Linked DNA regions of Schizosaccharomyces pombe. The protein of the gene in region 1 binds, or shares a complex with, the protein of each later gene. Each region holds a gene or a part of one and is shown on either strand. Other genes may lie near its edges.

Region 1 (3,812 bases):
TCTAAATTACTCGATAGATCTCAGGGTGATAGATCCCCTTTTTTTATCTTTCCTGTTATTGAAAACTCTATAGAAGGAAAGAAAGCAAAACGTGTTGCCAAGCAACACTTATTGTGTAAGGGTAAATTTTACACCACGTTCGAGTAGTATGCAAGGCACCATTTCTTGATCTAAATAAAGACGTAAACCCTTGCGGTAGTGTATCGCTAAGAAGTGAGTTTATTTAGTAATAGTGTAATTACTGAGCTGGAAAAAATGAATATATCTCTCGAATATGCAATTCTGACGATATCAGTGCTGGATTAAAAACTATTCATTGACTAGATTCTTAATAAAGTTAAAAGCAACGGGATCACCCACAAACGATCTCATGCTTATCATTTGTAACTTTGAATATCTATCTATTAGATTAGGCTGATTGAGTAATGTCTTATACTATGGCTTAGTTCGAACAGGCTAGCTGCTTCCAATCAATACTTTATTAGCAAGTTTGTTATTACATATCTATTTTATAAAAAACAAAAAAATCATCTAAACTAGTCAAAATTCCTTACTAATTTGTAATACAGAACACTAGCTTAACTTCTACGAATACTTGAAAAGGAGGCTTAACCGTTAAAGCACATATCAACTTTCGGAACTTTAATATTCTATAAAACTAAATGATAGAATACATACCTTCCACTTGGTTCCACTTTTAACTCTTAAAGAAATGCTTTTGAGTAATCTTTAGAAGGAAATATCAAAATTCTTTAACCAGTTTGGGTGAAAGCTATAGTATTAAAGAGTAAAAATTTTATTTATAAATGTAAGTAAAAATAGGTACTATGTTGTGATAGCAAATCACTAAACAATAAACCCAAACCACACAAAAACATTGGATTCAAGTCCCCTCGGTAAAAATATAATAATGTACCCATAGCCCAAAAAATGCAATGAAACTTTTTACGATCTGTCTTTGACTATTAGTTTGCAGAAAAAAGCATCTGCACAGAAAGACTTCTGGTTCCCCTGAAAAGACTGAAAAAATCCAATAATACCACAAAGGACTTTCCAGACAAACATTGAGAGTTTAAAAATAAAAAAAAACCCCGAATTGGTCATTAAAATAATATAGGTGAAACGACGTATTCGTATGCTCCTTGCTATCATCTTTGACTAGCTCCTCTAGTCGTCTCCCTTAACAACACCAACCTTGGCAGGACGAATAACTCTTCCATTCAATTGAAAACCCTTGCTTTCGCAATGGAAGACAGTGTTGGGCTTTTTACCTTCAACAGGGATTTGGAAAACAGCTTCATGGATGTTAGGATCAAAATCTTCTCCGATACCGTCATAGCGAACTAAACCATATTTTCCTAAGGTTTTCATTAAGTTCGATTCAGTCATTGCTAAACCTTCATAAAGATCAACTAAATCCTTGTTGGACTCACGATTGTTACGCTTCTCCTCTGGAACAATTGAAAGAGCACGCTCCAAATTATCGACAGAATCCAAAAGATCCTTAGTAAGCTTTTGAACAGCAAATGCACGTGTTTGCTCCATGTCTCTCTTCATGCGGTTTTCCAAATTACGATAGTCAGCTAAGCTTTGGCGAATGCTACCCTTTAACTCCGCAACCTCTTTGTCCTTTGCTTCATATTTACTTTTAAGCTCAGAAAGCTTAGATTGAAGTTCCTTAACATCAACATTCTCTGTTTCGGCAACTTTTTCTTCAGCAGGCTTTTCTTCCTTAGCAGCCTCAGTTGAGTACCAAAGGAAACTGCGTTTATTAATGGGTGCTCGAATAAGCGTCCGAGGACGTACAGCGGATGAAAATACTCTTCCAAGCCCAAGCATTGTTTCAGTGAGAGCTTTGTGGTAAAAGACAACTGTGTCACACTATAGACAAATGGTGTTGTGAACTTAGCACTGTTAAATTTTACAAATATCAATTTCATCAACTTAAAAATTCGTTATGTTTCGTTAAATGAGGTATGGACTTTGAGATGGAAGCTGATTCAAAAAATATATAAATGACACTTTTTTCTCAAATTAAAGCTTCTATTTCGATATGTAACAAATTGATTGTAGGTTTGAACATGCATGTAGGAAAGCAACCCAAATTTCGAATTTGCTCAACACTGGAAGCCAACAACGGCTCATATGCTTATCAATTATTAATTTATTCTTTTCAGCTTCATTCTCAACAGATAATAATTAACTGATTTCTCATCTATATTTATATCCTTCTTGGTATGCTTTACGGCATTGGATTATATCGAAGTACTTACTTCGCAGCCTTTGAAAGTAAAATAATTGAATATTATAATTTAAGTTTTAAAATAATCCTATTTGTGTCATCTGGGCCATCTTATTATTTTTACATTCATCAGTTTATTTGCATAATGATATTTGTTGAACAATTTATGGGAGTCGAATTTTCACAAATTCCTATTATAATAATATCATATTCTTAATTACAGAAGTCTTCATAATAAAAGGTACCTTAGTTAAGTGTCAGATATGTCTTATCGGTATTGGACCTTACACTTTCATCCACCATCACTACTTAAACTCAGGAATACATTTGAGGATTGTAGAGGCAGAGCCATAGCTTTCTGTTAAATATTTATCTAAGCTTTGTGAAAATTTACGATTCAACCACTGAACACTTTTAATCGCCTACTAGTCCAGAAGTTGCGCTTTCAAGTAGCACCATACTCTCCTATTTTCCTGCTTGGACGTTTACCTAGATTTTCTAAATACTTATCTCTCTAAATCATGTCTTCACAATCATATCGAGAACGGACACTTGTTTCTGTAATTGGAGACGATGATACCGTTACTGGGATGCTTTTAGCTGGAACTGGTCAGGTAAATGAAAACGGTGACAAAAACTTTTTTATAATTACTCAGAGTAAGATTATCTGTTAAAAAATGGAATCGTGTTTTCGCTAACTTGCTGTTTTATGTAGAGACTACAGATGAGCAGATTGCTGAAGCTTTTGATGATTATACTACGAAAAGGAAGGATATTGCGATTGTATTGATTAACCAGTTTGCCGCTGAAAGAATACGTGATCGTATTGAAAACCATGTGCAGGCATTCCCTGCTGTATTGGAAATTCCTAGCAAAGACGATCCTTATGATCCTGAAAAGGACAGTATCCTCCGTCGTGTTAGAAAGATCATTGGAGAATAGACTATTAATATTTAATTATATTTTTTGAGCAATAATTTCAATTAGTCAACAACTCGATCGATTTGACTGATGACACTTTTATATTTGTATCTTTTGGTTTACTTACTGGCATACTAGCAAAAAATTGTAAGCAGAGTTTTTGTTAAACTATATTTGATAAATAGAAAAGTGATTATAAGAGAAATGTATTATTTTAAGTATAAATCTCATTCAACATCAAAACTGACATTACAACCACAAGAAGTCTTGGCACGTGGATTGTTTAAAAGTTGAAAAGAGGAACCAATAAGTTCATTTGTATACTCAATTTCAGAGCCACTTATCAAAGGTAATGAAATGTTGTCAGCAACAACCCTGGCTTTTCCACGCACAAATACCCTAGATATTTAGTCAATAACCAGGAAATACTTAATTAAAACTTATAGTCTTCTTAACCACATCACTTACGTGTCAGCATTTCCAATTTTGTTGTCCATGCGAAAAGATACTTGATATCCATGGCATCCACCACCATCGACAGTGACGCGCAAAACAGAGTTTTCTTCTGGTTTCCTTTCTGCAATTTTTTCTAACTGTTTTTTCGCTGAATCTTTCACGTATAAAATAAAAGGGATTCCCTTCTCGTCAC
Region 2 (3,518 bases), 3.1 Mb from region 1:
ATTTTTTTTTTTGGTATTATAAAAAAAAAATTTCGCTTCTTTTTGACTCAATGCTAATATATGACACAGGTAATTTTCGCCATTATTCTCCCTCCCTTGGGCGTTTTCTTGGAACGTGGCTGTGGTGCTGACGTTATTATCAACATTCTTCTTTGTTGTCTTGGTTACGTTCCCGGTATTATTCACGCTCTCTATATCATCTTAAAATACTAAGCATCCCTCTATTTCAATCCTCTAATATTTGTTCTTTTCGCTACTTATCATGTTTATAAAGGAAAGTGAAATAGACATGTGTATTCTTTGCTTCTTCTCTTGTCTGTTCTAGGAATTTATTATTCGCTTCATTTAATACCAAATGTTGTGAGGATATCATGGCTTTTGTATTAGTAAACAAAAAAACGGATTTTCTTTACTAAGAAAAAAGTTCAAAATAGTATCACGGTTGTTTGCACTCATTTTTTTTTCCTTTCCCAAAATCGACTGTGCTTAACCATGATATCTTTTTTTATCCATAATTGGGCGAATGATTTTACCGTATACTTTTTGCTATAGCCCAATAGTCTTCTTGTTTTACATAAAAGAATGTTTTATCATTTGCTCAACTGGAACTTATATTCTTTAAATATATTAGTTTAACGGTTCTTTTTTTTGTGTCTTATTCATTATTTGTAACCAAAATGTATTTCAATAGTAGTGTGTAATGATTGATATCTGGGAATAGATTAGATTATTGATCTCTTCATGGTGCCCGCAGCCCAGTCTAACTTTAAGGATTGGCCAGCGACAGTTAAAAGTCGAAAAGTAAGTTTTGGCTTAACCTCAGGCTCTCGTTTGAAGTCAATCCATATCAATGTACATCTCTCATCACATTGACAATATATGGCTCTGGTTTAACGGCATTGAGGGTATGTGGATAGCTAGACTAGTGTTAATTTTCCTTTTATCATAGTACAGGGCATATTCAAAAAAATATGAGGATATCAACCTCCTCACATTTCTTCAACTATTCGTAAACAAAAATATATCCCATTGCTTCTTTTTTTCTTAAAAAAAAAAAAAAGATAGATTCCATTTTACATTAAATTAAGGTAGACGTGTCGGTAAATACGTAGCAATAGCTAGCAACCCAAAATCAAAGAAAGTTTTAAGGTGAACTGGTTGGTTTCGCTGGGGATTGTTCTTGTATTTTTTGATCCAGTTCACTTTTCAATTTTTCATGAGCTCGGAACACTTTGCTCTGGAGGTAAAAAGATCCTCCTTTTTTAGGATCATTAATCTCAAACATTTTTTGAAATCGTTTTTCTAACTCTCCTTCTTCTAATGATTCTGGCTTAATGTTTAAAATGCTACCAGCTTCTTGAATAGTCATTTCACCTCGACGAACAGCAGTTGATGATTTGGAAGCAGCAGCTTGACCAGTACTTTGTTGAGCTGCATTAGCAATCATTTGCTTATAAGCTTGTACAAAAGCTTTGCTCATTACTAATATTGTTAGGGTTTTTAATCTTTTGAATAAATCCTTGATAGGAGAATGGCCACAAACATACCTTGCGAACCAACAATTATAAATCGACCGACAGCCCTTGGAAGCGACATTTTTTAATGTAATATAGTAATTTTGAACAAATAATTATGATAAATGTCTTCCTTTATTTTATTTTCAGACATACACATGCCCTAAACAGGAATTTTCACAAATTTTCTTGTAAAAAGGGTGGTGGTAAAAATTCCTTATAAGGCAGATTTCATATCAAAGAATCTAATACTACTTCCAAATTACAACCTTGATTTAATAATAAGAAGCATAAAGTTCACTATTTTAGACAAAAAAATATTAATATATTATGAATTTGCTTTATATTCTTTACTTTGTTTTACTACTCGTCACAATTCAAAGATCATGTAAACTGATTGTAAATTCAAATCATCTTATTCATTAGGGCTTCTTATACTCGCTGAAACAGTATGGTAATGGAGCTTAAACATAGTGACTTAATAATAAATATCATATTAAAGCTTTAACTTCATACTGAAAAAGGAATGCCGTGAGCACCGGGAAATCCAGTCAATGTCAAGTCAATTGAAACGTTATCGATTACCTCAAAGTTAGTAGGATCTGGAAAAAGTTTCTCGGTCACGGAGCCAGGCTGTTCAAAATGCATCGCTTCAAGTTCCTTCAGCCTTCTTTGACATTCCGCAAACTCAACCATCGCTAGTTTATAACGTTCAACAGCTTCTTCCAAAAGTTGCTTTTCTAAAGCAATGTCCGAAACCTTTTTTTCCAATGAGTTGATCAACTCCTTTTGTTCATGAGTTTGGTTAGCAGTTTTAGAGCCTTCAGAGCTTTGTTCTTTATTTTGCTTTATCGCGGATTTTTCACGCTCCTCAAACTCCTTGAAACGATTATTGAAATTCTCGTTAGCTTCACTGAGTTTCGTGGCACGTTCATTTAAACTTTTCTCATGTTCTTCAACCTTTAATAGACGATTTTCAAGGTCCTTTTCACGTTTTTTAAGATCATCTTCTTTTCCATTCATCTTCAGTTCTCTTTTATTAATCTCATTCTCTCTGATTAACAGTTTTGACTGGAATTCCTCAAGAGCGGCTTCTCTTTTGGATACGAGTGTCTGCTTTCCTTCACTGTCATCCGCATTAGCTTTTAATGTTTCATAATCATAAGTTAAGTCGTTAATGCGTTCTTTTAATTCTTTGATTTTCTTATCCTTTTGTTCATTAAGATCATGCAGGGTTTTTACTTGTTTTTCTAGTTCATCTTTTTCTTGACTGCTTGTACTTCGAGAAGTGACCTCTGTTTCAACGTTCTTTTTTATTTCACCATCAGGCTTGGCTGCTTTATCCTCACTTTCTATTACCGCTAAATCCTCCTTCTCAGGCTTCTCCGCAACCGACTCATCTACAGAATTTTTAACGACATTTTCAGATGTTTCCGGAGACTGAGTAGAAGCATCGCCGGTGGATGCCTCAGCACCTTCAGCTGAAACTACATTCGAAGCAGAAATATCCTCAGTGTTTTCAACTACTTGAGTATTGTCATTGCCTGTAGGCTCATTTACTTGATTATTGCCATCATTAGATTCGCGGTCAACATTATCTTCGGCAACTGAATTTTTAGATTTAGCTTGGCGTTTTTTCTTCTTGACCTCCAGCAACTAGCACTCGTAAGTTAAATGTTACAAAATATTATGCATACCCTTTGTTTAGCTGCAGCTAGCTTTTCTTCACGATCTGACATCTTCAAATTTGATACAAGATGAAAATAAATCAACAGGGAGTTGTAGTGTGGGCAGAATCAGTAAAGTATAGGTAAGTAGGGAAAGTTTGCGTGAGGCTTAACAAGTCCACGGATAACCAAGCATACTAAATAAAGTAGAAACATAAATATAATATATATTTGATGAATGAAAAACTTAAAAAAATGGATTCATATTTTTTATACGCTAGAGAGTATAGGTATATTTTATTACGCTGATTCGGTTTGAAAATGAAGGAAGATACTC
Region 3 (3,652 bases), on another chromosome or scaffold:
GTAAAAAGAGTATCTCCAGTAAACACGGCTCTTTTTGAAGGAGAGGAAACGTAATAACAAATACTGTCTTGGGTATGGCATGGCGTATGAAGAGCCTCAACTTGAACTTCTCCAACCTTGAAAATCTCCTTATCTTTGGGAGTGTATGTGACACCAGATGCATTTTTTCCGCCATAGACCTTTAAAGAAGGAAAGTAGCTCAAAATGTCTTCGTTGCCGCCTGCATGATCATAGTGATGATGAGTGGTCAGAATGTACTGCAAATCAATTTCTTTCTTCGCCGTTTTCTCTTTTATGACAGGAATAACACTAGAGTTTGTCAATGTTAGTTTGGTTAATTAAATGTTACGGAGCGCACAAACAAAACAATTCGGAAAACAGGAGGAGAAAATCATGTTTCCGAAATCACAGATAACAGTATTTAAGTCGTTATTTCATTCTCTTCACTTACCTCTCAGGCTCAGCAGGGTCGACGATGGCAGTGATTTTGGTTTTATCACAAGTCAGCAAATAGGCATAGTTGTTGCCCGTTCCTTTCCACATCCATATGGGCGTAATATGAAAAGACATCGCGTTTCTTATTATCTTATGCACTTTAAAAAAAAATGAATATACTAAACTTCCTACTCTACTAAGAAACAAAATCTTAGAGAACGTATTTGTTTAAGTCAAAAAAAATTTGACAGTACGCACTTATATACGGTAACGTCAGAGTGATATGTAAAGGCAGCTTCTGTGTTAATAATCATTGTTAGAAGCGAAATTTCGATGTTTATTAATCAATTCATTTTTTTTAATTATGATTATGAAATAAATTTTTAAATAAACATACTTCATATAAACTGTTACTGAAGTAGGTTTTAACAATGTCATTCAAAGCGCAAAAGTCAAAAACTAAAATCATTTCAAAGAGTATACATTTTGTAAGGAATGATATTGTTTACGACTAAGGAAATCAAATGCTCGAATTCTTCTTTTAACTTATCCTTGTTGTGAATTGATACTCGGAATGCATGGAAAAGAACCTGACAATTTTCCATTGAAAACGTTTTGGAAAGTAAGTGTCCGGAAACATATGAGAGACTCAAATTTAATCTAAAAAAGAGTTAAACTATTAACACTCGGTACAACCATCAAAAAGGAGACAAAATCATTGACGCTCGAAATCAAATTACTAAATAGCTCCAGCGTAGAGAAAGAAAAAAAAATACAATTTCGGGGTTTCCTTCGCATTTTCCGAAAAAGGATTGATATAAGAGTACGAAAAGAATCGAAGGCGATGTACTATACGGAGCAAACACACATCTTTAGAAGCAAAAAATAAAATAAATTGACAAAAGGTGTCTGCAACTGAATAGTAAAAGTTTTTTGGAAAAGCAAACAATAATTCACACAATGATTAGTTCTATTAAGGGCATCATAGCTTTCAGCTAAATTTTAGCAAGAAAACATTAGTTCTCCAGCAGATACAGCACATAATAATATTAACAACGATGCAGACCATTATTCATCACTTTTAAGCTTTCGGTATGGAGCTGTATTCAAGCCATTTCACCGCTTCAAGAACACTAGGCATTGATCGCTGCTTAGAAACAGGGAGTGCCCATGAACTAAATTTTCGGATTGATCGATCTGCATCCAAAAGTGACTTGGCCTCGTTTACCTTGCTGGCTACATAAGGGCTACCACCCCGATCTGGATGATTTGCAAGCATCAACCTTCTGTGAGCCTCTTTTATTTTTTGTCGAGTTAAAGTACGGTTGTTCAATGACAGAATTTGAATGGCTTCTGCCCTAGACATTTTTGACTCAAAACCACCCTTGAGAAAGGCCTTTACTCCGCCATTCAAATTCCGGTATTTTCTGAATGCGTCAACACCAATTTTCCCCTAAAGTCATTAGCATTTCAAATGTCAAGCTTTTATTTTCTGTTTTCACATACTGCCGCAGCCGTTGCAGCGATACCGACTCCAAGGAGAATAGCAGACGACTAATCAAAAATAAGTTAGTTAGTGAGGCAAAAAAAAAATCTCATACCATTTGTTATATCTCAAAACTTATTTAATGTGAAAGAAGTAACCAAAAATATATATATTCTCCTCAATTCCCAATACCTTGAGGATAGTGGAGGAAGAAAGCTGGTTCTCCTTGTATATGCTTAAGTTGCCAATAAATAACAACTTTTAATCCTACTAATAAAAATCTGCATTACATAAAATTCAGGGTTTTATATTTCTTGTAAAATAATTTGTTAAAATTAATATAAACTAGCTCACAAAAAAAACTAACTATTTTACGGTAAATATCCAAATTATTCTAAATTCAATTGGGTTGCTTTTCATTCATGGATTCTTGTCATTAATATTTATATCTTTTTTTTTATCCTAAAAAAAAAAGATTGGTATTGATATCTCTAATAGTCATCGGCGTAATTGATCAAGTGCATTCTGAACAAACCGACTTTCGGGCATGGTCTGCACCCTTTCTAAAAGATCACCAAGAACACTCCCGCTTTTTGATTTGGCTGCTTCTTCGCTAGCACTTTTCACGTCCCCAACTTGAACCCACATATCCACTTTTTCTTGTGTAGTAAGCTGAGTACATCGTGGTATGTATTTAGCAGCCTCTTTTTTATTTCCGGCACTAAGGATTTCTGTAACAAAAGGCTCAAAACCAATTGGCGATCTTCGCATAGAGCCTGCCCATTGTTCAATCTGAACCCAATCACGGATGGCTACCAAAGCTCTTAATTTCAGCCAAGCAAATCTCTTCTCAGGAATCTGAAAGTCAGACCTCAATTTGTTTGCTCTTTGTGTTTGATTAATTTGAATCAATTTAACAACAACCTCATTTACTGTTAGCCCAACAAAATTACCAGTGAATTGATCCTCGTAAGTTTGTTGTAATTGTAATAATTTTATTTCATCTCCCAAACATTTTTCTTCAAGTGATAGTTCCTTGGATTCTGAACAAACTTTAGCTGCTGATTTTAAAGAGGTAATGCGCTGATTGACTGTCGCAGTTTTTAAAGTATCTTCTACCGCTAAAACAGCGATTCCTTGTTTGTTATCGTCCTGGTAAAAGAAGTCGTGTAAAGTTTTTCTATCATTCTTTTTGGCAAATTCAACGTAAACCTTAACTGCATCAGGATACTCATTTAAAATTTGAAAGAAAGACGCTATTGCCATTTGTTGTTTGATTTGAAGCACAACGTAAATAATCAGGTTATTGTCCATAGTTTCTATTACCTTTTTTAAAGCTTGCTCATATGCTTCCATGTTTAACAATAGCATTACTTGATGCTTAGCTAAAGGCTCGAAATCCAAGAGCTTTGTTGAAAGAATTAGTCGACCTTCTTGATAAGCTGTGCGAGCAATTTTCTCATATGATATGTATTTTCTGGACGAAAGTCGTTTAACAATATTATCCAATACAACCTCCTCTGGTTCACTAGATTGCTTTATGTACGTCTGAGCCCATTGTATGTAGACCCAATCACACGGAATCTGCATCCACATAGATGCCTGAACAGCGAGGCCATATAATTGTCTACACGAAAATCGTTGGATTAGCCTTTCTAAACCTAGATGCAAGTATTCTTCATGAGTAATGTAAATCCCAACATTGGGGTCTCTAGCAGCATTCAAAACTCT

What was found.
Region 2: mge1 (region 1) and tim16 share a complex: the UniProt entries of both Schizosaccharomyces pombe proteins name them as parts of the PAM complex.
Region 3: mge1 (region 1) and tim14 share a complex: the UniProt entries of both Schizosaccharomyces pombe proteins name them as parts of the PAM complex.

What each region holds. Positions count from the first base shown.
Region 1 is NC_003423.3:4,020,574-4,024,385, reverse strand, and holds mge1 (GrpE domain-containing chaperone mge1), read right to left. Parts: upstream 1,870-3,812; 5' UTR 1,840-1,869; coding exon 1,168-1,839; 3' UTR 614-1,167; downstream 1-613. Other genes in the region: vma7 (V-type ATPase V1 subunit F), read left to right, coding at 2,764-2,899, 2,958-3,184; Fe-sulfur protein Isa2, read right to left, coding at 3,391-3,562, 3,632-3,812. UniProt on the Schizosaccharomyces pombe protein: Essential component of the PAM complex, a complex required for the translocation of transit peptide-containing proteins from the inner membrane into the mitochondrial matrix in an ATP-dependent manner.
Region 2 is NC_003423.3:884,694-888,211, reverse strand, and holds tim16 (TIM23 translocase complex subunit Tim16), read right to left. Parts: upstream 1,720-3,518; 5' UTR 1,597-1,719; coding exon 1,548-1,596; exon of another isoform or gene 1,483-1,547; coding exon 1,145-1,482; 3' UTR 565-1,144; downstream 1-564. Other genes in the region: plasma membrane proteolipid Pmp3, read left to right, coding at 70-213; SPOM_SPBC713.09 (uncharacterized protein), read right to left, coding at 2,025-3,170, 3,212-3,253. UniProt on the Schizosaccharomyces pombe protein: Essential component of the PAM complex, a complex required for the translocation of transit peptide-containing proteins from the inner membrane into the mitochondrial matrix in an ATP-dependent manner.
Region 3 is NC_003424.3:1,693,489-1,697,140, reverse strand, and holds tim14 (TIM23 translocase complex subunit Tim14), read right to left. Parts: upstream 2,126-3,652; 5' UTR 2,040-2,125; coding exon 2,037-2,039; intron 2,010-2,036; exon of another isoform or gene 1,990-2,009; coding exon 1,942-1,989; exon of another isoform or gene 1,889-1,941; coding exon 1,517-1,888; 3' UTR 657-1,516; downstream 1-656. Other genes in the region: hydroxyacylglutathione hydrolase Glo2, read right to left, coding at 1-309, 452-570; HOPS complex subunit Vps16, read right to left, coding at 2,420-3,652. UniProt on the Schizosaccharomyces pombe protein: Essential component of the PAM complex, a complex required for the translocation of transit peptide-containing proteins from the inner membrane into the mitochondrial matrix in an ATP-dependent manner.